Ovis aries: one gene and its partners. The protein of the gene in region 2 purifies or fractionates together with the protein of the main gene of each other region. This does not show direct contact. Links are inferred from orthologs where the notes say so. Each region holds a gene or a part of one and is shown on either strand. Other genes may lie near its edges. The genes, in order: CDK1, SPDYC and CDK2.

Region 1 (5,531 bases), on a different chromosome or scaffold from region 2:
GTGTTCCTGGAGAATGTCATATCCAATGTTTCTTCAAATGTCACATCCTCTTTTTGAATTAGTAATTTCCTCCTCTATGTTCTCATGTCACCTTAGAGCATAAGTTACAGCGTAAGTGCCAGAAGCAAGTTACAAGTAATGGTTGTGTTCTCCGACTCCCAACATCTCAAGCAGGAAAATACCTGACTGATCTTTGTGACATTGTATAGAAGTTGACCCAATGAACAGTCAATTGTATTTGCCAAGATGAGAGCCTAAATTTAGAACAACCCCTGAACCCTTGTGGCTCAGCTGGTAAAGACTTCCCCTCAGTGCGGAAGACCTGGGTTCGATCCCTGCGTTGGGAAGATTCCTCTGGAGAACGGAAAGGCTACCCACTCCAGTATTCTGGCCTGGAAAATTCCATGGACTGTATAGTCCATGGGGTGGCAAAGAGTTAAACATGACTGAGTGACTTGCACTTCGCTTCATCCCACCTGAAACTTTAAAAGATAACTAAAAACAAATAAAAACAAGCTGCAAAAATAGAGAAAGATAACTGAGTTAAATTTAAATAAAAATCTAGCATGAAAGTGTGGAAGCTTGTGGTCTTCTTTATGCTGAATGTCAAATGTATATAATGAATTACTAGCTGTTTTTAGATGATATAAATTAAATCCTTTGCTTAAGCCTCTCAGAGGGAAAGCTATATATATTTATTCTTTAAAATTAGTACCCTAAACTAGCAGAGAATAGTCTTCTCTAGAACACAGTTTTCATTTTATTTAAGGCAATTTAAGGCAGTTTTCATTTAAAATGTGAATTTGAGATTTTAAAAATAAGTTTTAAAAGTTATTAGGTTCAGGCCAAGTTTTCCCAAATCTCGTACTTCTACTATGAATTTAAAATATTCTGTCACCCAGGAGCACAAAATTGCCAAGGTTGAGTGTTTGTGCCACATATAGGGGGCCATGTGATAAACTTATTCCATTCCTTATCCTAATCTGGATCATCAAACACATAGTTGTAGAGGGCATGGTAATCAGTATTTGTTCCAGATCTCGATACAGTCAGTGGAAAGACTCTTACTATCCTCAGTTCTATTTTACTTTTTTATTTTCTTAAAGACTTAAGAATGATGTTCAGGTGCAGAAATCTCTTTAGGATATGGTGGAGGGCAATGAAAGAGTTTGGGGATACGGGATTATTTAAAGTGTAATTTAGATCTTTTTCTTCTCCCACAGAAGTGTGAATTTTTGTGTTTTTAAGAACATTTAAAATTCTGATGTGAGAATATTTTAACATTTAAGAAAAGAAAAATTTTGCTTTTTAATTTTTAAGTCAAAATGTTACATAGATTTTAAAAATGAAATTTAAAACAGTGAGGTGAAAACAGCTCAGCCATATATGTGTGTGAAATGTGACAAAAATGTATCTAACTCATATTCATATATATATTTATATATATATGAAAAGTTTCTTTACCCTGTTGAGGACATCTTTCCTAGTTTTCTATTACCTCTTTCTATTAAAACAAACTTTATTTGTTTTGTTTTTTGGCTGCCTTGAGTCTTAAGTTGAGCATGAGGGATCTTCCCCTTGGGACATGCAGAATCATGCTCTTTGACCCAGACTGAGATTCATTATTTTAGAAAAGCATAAATATACATTAGCTTTCAGTATCAGAAATGAAAGTAATGGGATCTGGATTACGTGTAGCACCACTTCTGTGATGAACTATTTGAATACCTCAAATTTTTATTGTGCCAATATTGGGAGAGAAAAAAACCCAACCCTGAGAGGACAGTAGATTTCTTATGACTAGAAACAATAAGACGACCCTATCTTGGAACGCGCTTGCGCTCAGACTCAGTTGGCGCCCGCCCTTCTGCTTTTTCTCCAGCCGCCGTTTCCTCCACCTTTCGCGCTCTAGCCACCCGGGGAGGCCAGCGTTAAGGGAAGCTAGGCTCTGATTGGCTCCTTTAAAAGTCTACGGGCTATCTGATTGGTGAATCCAGGACCCTTTAGCGCGGTGAGTTTGAAACTGCTCGCACTTAGCTCCAAAGCTGGCGCTTGGAAGTTAGGGAGAGCGTCGCCGACTTGGTAGCCGCCGCAGCTTTCGCCGCGGGATAAAGCCGGGTAGCGTTGGTGAGGTCAGGGTGTTGCCTATGGGGTGTCCACTCGGAAGGGCTGGCTCGCGGACCTTGGAGGGGGAGTATTAATGAAGCAGGTGATAATTGGGAGGCTGGGCTCTGGGCAGTGGGGTTCTGCGTACCGCCAAGCCCGGCCTTAACCGGAGGCCCCGGGCCTGCGCATGGAGCGACGCCCAACCTCGGCTTCAGTGGGAGGCGTGGGGGAGCCCAGCCCGGCCAGGCAGGGTTGGCATTGCTGTGGTCTCTGAATTGCAATCTGGGGTCGCGGGCGGCTGAGGAGGCTTTCTGGGGTTGATGGAAGGCAGATTTGTGCCTTCGTTCGCCGACACCAAGCGCTTGTGGAGTGCCAGGCTCTGCCCTGCAGCTCCTAGCTTCGCCTCCGGGAGTGGAAAGCAAGATTGCAACTCAGCCCGGTGCTCGGGCCTGCTTCTAATCCCAGGTGGTCACGGGAAACCGACCGGAAGAACTAACTTGTGGGCCTTCTCAGCTTGCCTCTCTGCTCCCATGACCCTAGCTTACCTGGAGCTTTTAAGAACACTTATCCTGGGCATAGACCCCGAGAGAACTTGGATTTTTTGGATTTTATTTTATGCTTGGTGGTTGTTACATACAATGGAATTGGCAAAAACTGGAAATCTAAGAAACGCCGAGAGTTAGAAACGTGTCATTTAAAATCCTTTAATCAGTTTTAACGTGCAGGTCTTGCTTTCTTTAAAGACCTGGAGGTGTCTGGGTGGATGAAGCCATTGGTATTTTACATCCTGCCACTAGGAATAGAGGAGGCATTCAAAAGGCATTACGAAGCCACATCCTTTATTTAAAATAGTTGCAACCAGGGAAAGGTGAAAGAGTAATTGAACCCAGCTTTGAAATTGAGTTAGTTTTCAGTTATTTTGTTTAAAATAAGCTCCACAGTTTCATTGTGATTTGGGCATATTACAGCTGGATATTGAAGAAAAGATAGTTAGTCCTAATCCATTGCCATTTGTAAAATTGAACATTTTTAAGATGGCCAGAGTAGTGCAATTTTGTTTATTTAAAAAAGTTTATCTCTGCTTGTGTCTGGAATGATTTTGAAAAAGAATGTGAGAAATTTAACTCAAGGGTCAATGTAACTTAAGGTTCAGTGACCTTTATGATTTTATCAGTGATATAAAATGATGGTTTGGGCTTCTGAAGTTGATGTTTCCATGGCAAACTTACCAGGAAGTCTTGAGTATCTGGTTGTCATTTGGGCTTTTTTTTTCTTAACCATTTTTTTGTGTGTGTGATTCAAGTATATGGACATTCTTTGTTCTTGACATTGCATGGGATATAATTAGACTTTATGTATGGAATTGCCCATTTTCTTTTAGAGTGCTTAGTGATATTTCCTACTTTACAAAAGGTATCTTGAAAGTTTTTTTTTATCATGTTTGTGTTACGTGACTCCTGACAACAAGAGAAAGATAAAAACTGTCATTTGAGCAAGTTGAAATGAATATACTTTTGCTGCTTTAAATATTTTCTAATGGTTGAACAGTGTGACCACATTTTAGCTCCCTACTCATGTCTTTAAAAATTGTTTATTAACTTCATAAAAGTATCATGAAGCTACAAATTCAAGTAGCATTCATTGCTAAACTATTTGGGTATAACTGGCGCACATTGATGAGCCTTGGAAGTCTTATGTAAAGAACATCAGGGTTTTCTTTGGGACGGATAGATGTTGATGTCTGAATTTGAAAGTTAATTTTGAAAGAAGCCCCCAGGTGGCTCTAGTGGTAAAGAACCTGCCTGCCAGTGCAGGGAACATAACAGACAGTGGTTTCCATCCCTGGGTCAGGAAGGTACCTTGGAGGAGGGCATGGCAATCCACTCCAGTATTCTCGCTTGGAGAATCCTATGGCAGAGGAGCCTGGCAGGCTCCATAGGATCACACAGAGTCGGACACTGAAGCGACTTAGTATACCAAAGTTATCCAGGTATAGGATATACAAATATTTCCAATGTTTCAGAAGCTAAGAAAGGTGGGAGAGTCTTGAGCTCTTCCCCTTGTAAATATTGTTTTAATAGAATAGCTAATATTATGGAAAAATTTTTAAAAATTTATTTGTATTTGGCTGCACTGGATGTTCATTGCCACAAGTGACTTTCTCTAGTTGAGGCAAGTGGATGCTACTCTCTGTTGCGGTGCACCAGCAAGGTGCACAGGCTTCAGTAGTTGTGATGCTTGGGCTTAGTTGCCCTGTGGCATGTGGAATCTTCCTGGACCAGGGATTGAACCTGTGTTCCCTGCATTGACAGGTGGATTCCTATCCACTGCACCGTGAGGGAAGTCCTATTATGGAAAGTTAGTACTGCTCTAGGCACAGTGGGAAATTCTTTACTTGTAATATCTTATCAATAACTTAAAAGCACCCTTTGAATTGGTGACATGTGATCAAATAAGCTTTTCTTCTCATTTTAGGATCTACCGTACCCACTGATTAACTATGGAAGACTATACCAAAATAGAGAAAATTGGAGAAGGTGAGTGGCTTTAATAATATACAAGGAATTTTAAAAATGATTTAATGGTTTGACATGTAAATATTCAAATTCAGTTTTTAAAGTATCCAACAGTCATTAGTACATTAATATATATGTTCTCATATATATATGCTATATATAGTAGCATAAGCAAAAAAAAAAAGTTAACCTTTCAAGAGCACTGAAATTATTCTGACATGTCTCCCTACCAGCATCCCTCCAATAATCTTACATTCTTCTAATACTAAACACTTAAAGCAATACATCTGTGTATTTTTAAAAAAACACTATTGCTATTTTGTAGGTGTGTTGAGAGTGTTAGGGCAGTGAAATTATGTGCTTTAGTTTTAAGTATGTCTGCATATACTCTCTGAAGTACTAGTCAGGGTCATGTATTTCATTTGGTAGTTAATGTCTTCATGTCTTTTGAGTAAAATAGTCCTCTTGTCTTTTTCCCCCTTGACATTGAGTTTTTGACTACCTAATTCATTTCTTAAATATATCAGCTCTTATTTCAATCATTACCAAGTTGTTCTGTGATTTCCTTCTAAGTTAACAAAAATAATTCATTGAACTCAGGCAATAATTTGAACCCCTTTTGCCTTTTTAGATCACAGAGAACGTAACTATATGCATGATGTGGAACCTTAGTTGGCATTTAGCAGATACGCTATAACCATTTGTTGATTAACAGTTTTTCTGTTTATTGTTCAGTCTCCATAATTTGCCTATATTGAAGATTTTTAAATTTTATAATGCTTCAGTTCAGTTCAGTCGCTCAGTCGTGTCCGACTCTTTGTGACCCCATGAATCGCATCACGCCAGGCCTCCCTGTCCATCACCATCTCCCGGAGTTCACTCAGACTCACTTCCATCGAGTCGGTGATG
Region 2 (5,192 bases):
GTGCTGGGTCTTCCTTGCTGCGAGGGCTCTCGGTTCGAGGGCTTCTCATTGTGGTGGCTTTTCTTGTCAGGAACGGAGGACGGGCTCTGGAGTGAACAGGCTTCAGCAGTTGCAGCGCGTGGGCTCAACAGTTGTGGCTTGAGGGCTCCAGAGCACAGGCTCAGTAGTCATGGTGCCTGGGCTTAGTTGCTGGGCAGCAGGTGGGATCTGCCCAGAGCAGGGATCAAACCCGTGTCCCCTGCATTAGCAGGTGGACTCTTCACCACTGAGCCACCAGGGAAGCCCCTCCCAGGTCTTCTGGAGCGTGATCATCAGCAATCCTCTGATCTTCAAAGAGAAACCTGACTGAGTTCCTGGGAACCCATTATGATTCTTTGAGTTTCTTGAGATGCGTCACCGTTTTCACTCTAAAGTGACTCTCACTGCTTTCCTGTTCCGTGACTTCGAGTTTAATATCCTCTTCCTTCTTATCCCCCAAGTCCTCAGTTGAAAGTTTTGAAATGGGGAGCTATTGTTTCGTGAGTACTTAAAAATGTGAACTTAAAGGGTGTTAAGGCAGTACGTATTGTTCAAGTTATGTGTACTTTATTAAGGGAAAAAAAGGGGGGAGAAGTCACCTGTCACATGTAGGTGCTGACTGTCCCACAACACTAAAGAGTGAAGAGAAACTGAGTCAGTGAAGATGGAAAGGCTTAAGGTCTGCTTGGTGGGGCGTGTGGGGGAGCAGTGTGGAGGGGCTGAGCTAGGTGGTCCTGGGCAAAGCCCTCCTCCTCCACTTTGGAGCCTCTGGAGGGGCTCTCGTATCCCTAAAGGACCTTGGAATGGGGATGTGGCCCCAGGGAATTCTCACTCCAAGACAATCTCCTCTCTGGTTCCCAGGTTTGGGGATTCCTGTATCTGAAATAAATACAGACACAACCAGCGACCCTTCCCCAGCAAGGCACAATCACTGAATATTTATAATTTACTCATCAGCCACGCGCCGCAACCCAGGTTGGTAGCATTCTAGGTCCGCACCTTGGCACTGCATTTGTAAAGAGCGGAGAAGGGCTCCTGCTGCCTTTCTGGCCCTGGGGTCCCGCTGGCCTGCCCTCACCCTTCTCGTAGATGATGAAACTTGAGAGAAGCCTTTACCCAGGAGAGCCGCAGCTGGGAGGTGCGTGGTGGAGACTGACTGGGTTAACTCTAAGTGGAGGTGAGCGGTGATGACGAGAAGCCACACCCTTTCCCAGGAAGGGGCCTGATTGGTGGAGGGCTTCTAGGGCGGGGCAGCTCTGGGGCTATATAAACACACTCGTTGGGCTTGGAGTTACGCTGTAGGCTAACTCCTGAGCTCAGGTAAGTCTTCTGGAAGGAGGAGGCTGGGCTTACCTGAGGGAACCTAGATGGAGGCCCCTAGGTTGACCAAGCCGTTTTGGAAGGGACCCTCCCCCGAGACCTGTAGTTGGAGTCTCTCTCTTTGTAGCTCCAAATGTTTGCAGTGGCTCCACCTCAGAACTCGCCCTAAACCCCAGTATTTTTGTCTGATAACGTCCTTGTCTCTGGGCTTCAGTTTTCCCTCTGTGAAGTAATGGTCTGCTGGTCTTTTCAGGGCTGCTTGATGAAGGGTGAGGGGGTGGTTGTGAATTGGGTGGCAAGAGGCGCCATGAGTCTCTGGCTTTGGGGTCAGACAGGAACCACCTTGAAGTGGCCATGAGACCTCCATGCTTCAGTTTTTGTGTTTGCAAAATGGGTTTACTTACCAGGACTAAATAAGTTAAAGCGTTTAACACAGCTCCAGGCACTTAGGAAACCCTCAGAGGCGCTCGTTGCTGCTGTTGTTACTCTCTGGCCTGGTCTGGGGTGCCAGGAGGAGGCGTGAGGGTGCTGTAGCTCCCAGGAATTCTGCGGCCTGTCTTGTCTCCTCACCCCCACCCCCACCCCTGTTTCTCCATGCCCATCCCTCCACCCTCTGGAGGTCCTCTGTCAGGCCAGCCACACTGATCCTGTTGACTTGTGTGGGGCTGATGGGGTAAATGCTAAGTCCTGGGGCTGCTTTCTTTACAGGTCACCCTGTCCCACCCCACCCCACCCGCCCCCAACCCCCCAAGAGATGAACGATGCCCAAGATCCGGCCACAGTCCCTGGAGCTGATACCCAAGTGAAGCTGAGGGGCTGGAGCTGTCAAGGTGAGGGTGATGAGTCTTCCCATCTCCGCCAACACCAAGAGCTCCAGGCCTTTCTCCACCTTCTGGGTGAGTCCACTTGGGGGCTGGCACAGAAGGGACTGTGAGGACCAAGCGTGAACTGATGTGAGAGGTGGGATCTCAGCCTGCCCACGTCTTGGTCCCATCCCTTCTCAAGTAACTCTGGTTTGGCAGGTTTGCGAGGGGGCGGGATGGGGGGAGGCGGTTCATGTCAGACATGTCAGACAAGTGGGTTCAGTGGGGGCTCGGGCTTTGGAACTTAGAATGCTGCTCTCGTCTCCTGGGGTGAGGGTGGTAACTCCAGGCTACCATTTCTCCTCCTCTCCCCCAGAGCACAGTTTCCTCCAGGATTTCCTCTCCAAAGATCCCTGTTTCCAGATTTCAGACAAGGTGAGAGTGGGGGGAGAGTCCAGGCTCACTCGGGGAAGGTTGAATTAGTGGAGCCTGAGTGCTGCTAATGCATTGGGTCCCCTGGTTTGGTGGAGGGAATGCCCCCATTTTAAGCCCTTGTCTTTGCAGGTCCCCCCGCACCATTTTACCCTGGATTTTCTAGGCCTGCTCCAAGCCCAGAACCTGCTTGATGGGCCTGGCACAGTCCCCTCCCCTGCCCGCAGTGCCCTGCTCTAACTCTCCCCATTTCTGCGTCTGCAGTATCTCCTGGCCATGGTGCTGGTCTACTTCCGGCGTGCCAACCTGCAGCTCAGCGAGTACACCCACAGCAATCTGTTCCTGGCACTGTGAGTGGCCCGGGTGCCTGGTGGGGACGCCCACTTGGAGTCACAGGGTGGGGGCAGGGTGGATGCTTACAACCTCTGTTCCCCCTGTCCCCCACCTCTGTGGCCAGGTACCTTGCAAATGACATGGAGGAAGACCTGGAGGACCCCAAAAGCGTGATTTTTCTGTGGGCCCTGGGCCAAGATTGGCATCACCAAGTATCAGACTTCCTGCATCAGAGGGACAAGCTGTGGGCACGGATGGGCTTCAGGGCTGTTGTGAGACGCCAGAGCTGCGAGGAGGTGAGGCGCCAACCCCCCCCCCCCACACACACACACACACCAGCATCCCAGGGTGGGGGAAAGAGGCTGGGCCTCCCACCTCACACTTACCATCTACTCTTCTCATGCAGGTCATGGCCAAGGAGCCGACCCACTGGGCCTGGACTCGGGAGCGGCACCCCCACCATGGCAGGGCTCAAAGGAGCTACCCAAAGGCCCAGATCCCCCTCCCCCGGGGTCCTGGCCTCTCGCCACCCCACTGCCCTCTCTGTGCCTTGCCCCCTCGCCGCAGCCTGTGCTGCCACCGCCCCCGCCCCTTGCCTGTCTTATCCAAGTGCCTTTCCTACAATGCTGAGTGGCACCGCCCTTCATTCCAAGCTTGGCCCTGGAGTAGGGGCTTCCTCATTGTCCTGCCCACCCAGCTGCTACTGGAACCAGGCACCTATACCCTCCACAGTGAGTAGTGGACAGAAGCTGGGGGGTGGGGGGGGCAGGGTGCTGGGAGGAGCTGGAAGGCAGGTGTGGAGCCCAACAGAATGGGAAGGAAGGGCATGGTGCCTGGGGTCCAGCAGGCTTGGGCAAGTGTCCAGCTTGCACCCCCTTGCTGTGTGAGCTTGGCAGGCTTCCTCTGAGCAGCTCTCTGTCCTTCCTCCCCCAGTCTTCTCTAAGCTGCTGCTGTGCCCTCGGCGCTGATACTCGCAGGGTGAAGAACAGCCCATCTGCTTGCCTGCTGGCCCAGTGCTCTACTGACTGTGGCCCCTCCAGCCTCCTGTCTGCTTGGCCTCAGGCTGGCAGGGCTGCTCATGCCTCCTGCCCCTTTCTCCCAACCTGCAACTTGTACCCACTCTGACCTGACTCCTCTAATAAATTCATACCCACAGGACATCGGCTGTACTTAGGCCCTGGTCTGGGTCCTTCACCCAGGGTGGGAGTAGGGAGGAAGTTTTGGGGAAGGGGGGGATCTGCCAGATTTAGGTACCAGTGGTTGAGACCCCTGAGCACAGGCCCTGTAATAGCTCTCCCTTCCCACTGGTGACCAGTCATCCCGCTGTTTCTCCTCTTTAACATCTTAGTGGATGCTGACACCCACATAGAGCCCACGGAACTGAATGAAATGAGCTATATGCAGTCCTTAGAAGAGGGCCTGGGACCTACTGGACCAAAAAGAGCTCCAAAGGAAAATGGCTCTATGTCAGTCTAGGAATGCCTGCAGGGTGAGGTCTTTTTCAGAATGAGTCTTAGTCCTTGCTCTGGGCTGCAGTTGCCTCTTGTGACCCCATGGACTGTAGCCCACCAGGCGCCTCTGTCCATGAGATTTCCCATGCAAGAATATTGGAGTGGGTGGCCATTTCCTTCTCCGGGGGATCTTCCCAACCCAGAGATTGAACTCAGGTCTCCTGCACTGCAGGTGGATTGTTTACTGCTTGAGCCACCAGAGAAGTCCGTCTGATGTGATGAACTATGTCAAGTTTGCCCGTGCTTGGGTGGTGGTGAGGAGCAGGATTTTTGGAAAGACTGTCTAGAGTAGTGATTAAGACTTGGTCTTTGGTGCCAGACAGTTTAAGTTCAAAATCCAGGTTTCTGCATGACTTTAGCACAACAGATTTAATCTCCTCTACCGCCTCATCTGTAAAATGAGTATTACACTAGAAAGGATACTGTTTGAGATTTGGATGTGATAATACTAGAAGGGTTTAGAAGTAGATCTCAAGAAAGGAGCTCGGATGTGGGTGTTATCAGTAGAGGGAATTGCTGCCCAGAGAAAGGTTAAAGGGGAGTGTATCTGGAACAGAAAGAAGGCAGAGATGTCTAAGGGGTCAGGTGGCAGAGGAATCTAAATGTAATTTCCCTCCCTCCTCTCTGAGTGGTTCCCAAGAAGCATGGGGGTGAAGCCTGGAGGCTGCAGACATTAGAAGCCAAGACAAGGACTGTAAAGTATTTTTAAGAGTTCTTCAAATAGGTAATATAGTCACATATATATTTTGAATTTTGAACCAAGAGTCATCTCCTG
Region 3 (5,357 bases), on a different chromosome or scaffold from region 2:
GGGGGCACCGGGGTACAATGTAGATATTTCTGCACATCACAGACTATCCTCACTCCATCTCTAACATGTACCAGAAACCTGGTTGATTCTCCTGGGGGACGATCTAGAATCATCCCGCTGAATATCTCACCACAAGAACAAGAGAATCATAAGATGCCCCATTCTTTCTCCACTCCCAATCCTCCCTCCTCAGAGCAGCACGAGACATTCCAGACCCTCTCACCACCCCCACCCCTTGCTCCCGTCACGAGGCCCCAATCCCCAGAGCCCTTTCATGTGATGCTCAGCTGAGACCCCTCTGCCTATCTCTTCCAGCCCCAGAACAAAAGCCTGGGCTGTGTTCACCCATGCCCATCCCAAAGAGGGGATGAGGTGCCTCTTTACCCTTCTATCCAAACACCACATTCGCTTTCTCCTCACTTTAAATACCCTATCCCAAGTGCTTAAGACAAAGCCTAAATGAGTTTCCACTCATTTTACTACCTTGGCACCCATGTTCCAGCTCACTATTCAGAGCATCTCAAAATTAGGGCCACAGAGACATACTGTTCTCTCACCCGTCCAGGTAGATGGGGTTGTTTTCAGGTTCAGTCCCAAGTGCCTGAACACATATGCACCCAAATCTTCATGTGGGGAGGGAGCTCAGTTGCCCATGTCCTCACTAAATCAAATGGATGAGAAACACCTGAAGCACTGCTGCTATCTTCCACTTTAGGGAGAGAAAAACCAGAGCAGGTGTGTAACCCTAAACTCACACTTGTTCATGTCCACACATCCCACACTCACCTTCTGTGGCCCCTACAGCCAGAAGAACACCCATCAGAGCCACATGGAGAAGGTATTTTCTCAGCACCAGATCCATCCTGTTCTTCCTTCCAGCAACCAAAGACTCTGGGGCATTGGACAAACCCCTGTATAAGAAGGGGGTGCTTATTTGCATAGCCCTTCCTCCCCTCCCTCCAGGCAAATCCTGGGAGGAGCAGAAGGATCTGAGAGACAGAACAGAGGAGGGATCCTGGTCCCTGGACATCATGCTACTCATTGACAGTTTCTGGCTTCACAGGGTCAGTCTCATCTTAAAGTACTCCATCTCCCCTCGCGGGGAAAAAATGACTGAAGGGCAGCTACAAAACATAACACGTACCGGACGCACAGGGTTCATCATTGGAGAGTGGATCAATCTATTGTGAGTCAAACCAGGAACCTCTCAAAATAACTGTAGAAGCAGCGACCCTGGGTCCAAAAACAGACAGTATTGGGGTAGGCTGAGAGAAGTGGGACAACGACTCTTCGGAGCCCTAGGAAACCCTTACAATGAGATTTCCAGTTTCCTGCTTTCAGAGGAGGCTCCAGGGCGAGGTGGAATTTAATACATATTTTCCTTAGGGTGGTGAAAACGGTGATTAGAGATCAGGAAATCCCTATAGACTCAGGACACAGAGAGAAAACTCGATCCCAAATCAGATACTTGGAAAAAGGTGTTCAGCCTCCCCATCCAGATAAAAATTTATCCTTAATACTCCTCGGAACCAAAGTTACTCGGGGTGGGGTCGTTTGCAGCGAGGGACACAGGGCTGGCCCCGCCCTCTCTGACGTAGACCAATAGGAAGATCTGAGGGAGGAGCCAGGGAAACGCGGGAAGGAGAGGCGGGGCTTCTGGTGGCGGTAGGGAACTAGAGGGGGGAGGCGGCAATATTGTTTCAAGTTGGACAAATTGACAAGAGCGAGAGATACACTACGTTCCATCCCGACCTCGGGTCGCGGTGCTGGGCCCTGTTTCCCTCCTCGGCCCCCGAGAGCTGGGTGCCGTTTTTTGCAGGTTCCCAGGCCCCAGCTCCAGGGCCGGGCTGACCCGACTCGCTAGCGCTTCATGGAGAACTTCCAAAAAGTGGAAAAGATCGGAGAGGGCACGTACGGAGTTGTGTACAAAGCCAAAAACAAGTTGACGGGAGAAGTGGTGGCGCTTAAAAAAATCCGCCTGGACACGTGAGTGGCCTCTGTACCCGGGAGTCCTGACTCGGGAGCTCCTTGAGTGCCCCCCACCCCCACCGCAACAGGCGGGTAGCCTTCCAGGGACCGGAAGGTAGCAGGGAGGGAAGTCTTTTGAAGTGGAGAGGTGGGTTGAAGGACGAGTAGAGGGTTTCCCGGTGGAGACTATAGGATAGTGTAGAATCCATGGGAAATTTCCTCCCCAGAGGCGGGCGATGTCCCCAAATGTACAGTCAGAAAGTGTCAGGAAGAGGAAGGAGCCTTTTGAGATGGGATCCAGGACTCCCCGACGAGGAGATGGGTTTTGTGATAAGTGGTAAAGAGCACCCTTATAAATGACTAGACCAGCCCTCAGTGCCCCAACCCCACCCGCATCTTAGAATTCTCTCTTTCAAAAGAATGGCAGTTGAACCTTACTGGCACCTCTAGAGAGGCTGGGTGTTGTTACTTCCACACACACACACTTTTCCCCCTTTTAACTTCACCAAGAGGCTTTGCTAACCCAGCCCTGGGCAAAGAAGATATGATGATCTTAATGGGTCTAAAAAGACACTCCTGTCCATCCATGATTTAACCACTGAAGCACCCTTTCTCTCACTTAATTAGGGGATGCTGGGTTGGTGGGGGCTGTGGGTGGGGTGGGGGGAATGACTGTACTGCTGAGGGAAAAGAAATATTTGTAACCACATTCCCATCTCTGCTTTCTCAACTTCTCCAAGTGAGACAGAGGGTGTACCCAGTACTGCCATACGAGAGATCTCTCTGCTTAAGGAGCTTAATCACCCTAATATTGTCAAGTAAGTATGTATCTGGGAGGTGGGAGGTGCTCTGACAGTAAAGGAGAATGTCTTCTGTTTGTATTGTCTGGGCCTTTCTCTCCCTCACGTGTATTCCTGGACCTCCCCCTTCCCTAGGCTGCTGGATGTCATTCACACAGAAAACAAACTCTACCTTGTTTTTGAGTTTCTGCACCAGGATCTCAAGAAATTCATGGATGCCTCTGCACTCACTGGCATTCCTCTTCCGCTCATAAAGGTACTCCTTCTCATCAACTCCTCCCCAACATGGGCATGTTTTGGGAGTCCGGACTGAAAGCAGGCAATCCGGACTGAGTGTTGATTTATCTTGGTTTCCTTCCCAGCCCTCACCCCCCTACACACACACACGCACACACCTTTTCTTGTGGCTCTTTCACTGCTCATTATGCTTTTAACCCTAGGGCTGGGCAGGGGAATCAAAGAAGTTGAAACTCTAGTAAGTCAACTTAGCAGCTCAGGTGGAAGGTTCTTGAGATGAAACTCGGATAAATGGGACTGGGGGGTACTTGGTAGATGCCTCCAGAAAGCCCTTCCACCTGTTTGGTGGGAGAAATAGCCAGTGAGTCTCTGTTGTCCATTTTTCTGGGTTCCTTACTCCGGAAGCTACTTTCGATCAACCAACAAACATCCAACACACATTTATTGAACACTTTCAATGTGCTGGTCCACGCTATGGAACATAAATGCAAAACTGAATGAGACCTGATCTTATCCTCAATGGGTTGACAGTCCAACTGGAGAAATAGCTTGAAAACATAATTACAATTTAACTAGTAAAGGCTTTAGTAGAACTTTGGAGTTACAGAGGAGACCCTAATCTGCTCACGGTGGTGGAAAAACAGAGTCTTTTCTTTCCCCTTGTCAGAGCTACTTGTTCCAGCTGCTCCAGGGCCTAGCTTTCTGCCACTCTCATCGGGTCCTGCACCGAGACCTTAAACCTCAGAATCTGCTTATCAACGCAGATGGGTCCATCAAGCTAGCAGACTTCGGACTAGCCAGAGCTTTTGGGGTCCCTGTTCGTACTTATACCCACGAGGTGAGTCCTCCTCTGCATGTCTTCTCTGAACTTCCTGGGAGGTGTTAACAAGGACATTCATAGAGTTTTTAGTAACGATCTGGCCAGCAGTTTCTCACTAGATGGAAAGTATTTCTGACACCACAAGAGGTCTTAGAGTATGCACAGAATTCATATATTGATAGATACCGAGCCAGGAGACAGGTGGAAGGCATGAAATTTAAAATTATGACCATTTGCCTCAAGTTTTCCAAGAAGGTTGCAAATTGAGGGTTCAGAATATATGTTCCCCAGAACCATGGATTAGGCTAACTCTGGGCTAAGAAGTTGTACCCAGTTATTTTACTTAGGGGCAATGAGAGTAAAGGGAAGGATGGAGGGATAGAAGTTGCTTGTGAAGAAATTGAGTTAGCAGAATAGTGTTTAGAAACTGACGTGTGGATATCTTCATGTCCTGTACTCTTTTCCTCAGGTGGTGACTCTGTGGTACCGAGCACCGGAAATCCTTCTGGGCTGCAAATACTACTCCACAGCAGTGGACATATGGAGCCTCGGTTGCATCTTTGCTGAGATGGTATGGAGGCATGCCCATGGTCTACTCAGCCCACTCCTTCCCACACTCAAGAACAACAGAACTGTTTCTTGGCCCAGACCCATGGTCCTTCTCTTATCACAGGGTTCTTCCTTTAGAGTAGCACAAAGGGGGTCATGGAGAAAGGAGAGGGCTGTCATCCCTGATGTCAACCACAATGTTAGGATAGCCTCAAACAGCTTAGCATCCAGTATACAAAGCTTATCTCCAAACTGAGCTAAATCATTTCTGCAACTGTGCTAGCTTTAGCCTACATATATTTGGGAAAATAAGTTCCATTTAGCATCTCCTTCATTTGCCTATAGACCTTATTTTAGGGCATCAGGAAGTGGTGAGGCCAGCTGTATCCACCTTATCCACACCTTTTATTTAAACTGCAGACATGTCCCCCCCTCAACCTCTGGCTTTTCAGATTGAAGGATCCCTGAGGCCCAGCCTTATAAGGGAGCTCTCATTCCCTTTAATACAACAGTGGAGTGAGCTGAGTTTTCAAATCAAGTCAGCAGTATGTTTTATGGTCCCTTATCTGGGTTGTATCTGGGGGCATGGAGACCATTAGCCCATATATATAACATGCATTTATCCCCCAGTGCAATACTTTACAATTGCCCATATACGTCTCTCAATTCATCAAAAAATATTTGTTAAGCACCTAGTGTGTACCCAGCACCATGCTAGGTGCTGTGGGGAACACAGAAGAAATGGAAGACACAGTCTCTGCCCGCTGTGCTCCTATCTAGAAGTGGCTGCATCACAAGGAGGGGGGATGACCGCAGTGTCTACCCCATACCCCGTGAGTGGCTTGACATCCCTTTGCTACATGTCAGTGGCACCCCAGACATTCATCCCCTCCCAGCCCCACCCAGCCTTGGGGATCTGCAAAGCCATGGTTGGGGGAAGGAAGGAGGGGGTGAGGAGGCAGATGAAGGGACTTCATTGTCTC

What was found.
Region 1: the proteins of SPDYC (region 2) and CDK1 purify together in Homo sapiens (co-immunoprecipitation; 3 studies listed by BioGRID and IntAct, with this or other methods). This does not show direct contact. The link is inferred for Ovis aries from reciprocal best matches to the Homo sapiens genes SPDYC and CDK1.
Region 3: the proteins of SPDYC (region 2) and CDK2 purify together in Homo sapiens (co-immunoprecipitation; 3 studies listed by BioGRID and IntAct, with this or other methods). This does not show direct contact. The link is inferred for Ovis aries from reciprocal best matches to the Homo sapiens genes SPDYC and CDK2.

What each region holds. Positions count from the first base shown.
Region 1 is NC_056078.1:15,814,174-15,819,704, forward strand, and holds the start of CDK1 (cyclin-dependent kinase 1), read left to right. Parts: upstream 1-2,047; 5' UTR 2,048-2,118; intron 2,119-4,581; 5' UTR 4,582-4,606; coding exon 4,607-4,643; intron 4,644-5,531. UniProt on the Homo sapiens protein: Plays a key role in the control of the eukaryotic cell cycle by modulating the centrosome cycle as well as mitotic onset; promotes G2-M transition via association with multiple interphase cyclins.
Region 2 is NC_056074.1:39,830,615-39,835,806, forward strand, and holds SPDYC (speedy protein C), read left to right. Parts: upstream 1-2,072; 5' UTR 2,073-2,092; coding exon 2,093-2,234; intron 2,235-2,517; coding exon 2,518-2,576; intron 2,577-2,837; coding exon 2,838-2,923; intron 2,924-3,030; coding exon 3,031-3,202; intron 3,203-3,312; coding exon 3,313-3,637; intron 3,638-3,839; coding exon 3,840-3,874; 3' UTR 3,875-4,064; downstream 4,065-5,192. UniProt on the Homo sapiens protein: Promotes progression through the cell cycle via binding and activation of CDK1 and CDK2. Involved in the spindle-assembly checkpoint. Required for recruitment of MAD2L1, BUBR1 and BUB1 to kinetochores.
Region 3 is NC_056056.1:163,555,885-163,561,241, reverse strand, and holds the start of CDK2 (cyclin-dependent kinase 2), read left to right. Parts: upstream 1-1,749; 5' UTR 1,750-1,870; coding exon 1,871-1,986; intron 1,987-2,708; coding exon 2,709-2,786; intron 2,787-2,903; coding exon 2,904-3,024; intron 3,025-3,672; coding exon 3,673-3,843; intron 3,844-4,294; coding exon 4,295-4,396; intron 4,397-5,063; coding exon of another isoform or gene 5,064-5,207; intron 5,208-5,357. Other genes in the region: melanocyte protein PMEL, read right to left, coding at 787-862. UniProt on the Homo sapiens protein: Serine/threonine-protein kinase involved in the control of the cell cycle; essential for meiosis, but dispensable for mitosis. Phosphorylates CABLES1, CTNNB1, CDK2AP2, ERCC6, NBN, USP37, p53/TP53, NPM1, CDK7, RB1, BRCA2, MYC, NPAT, EZH2.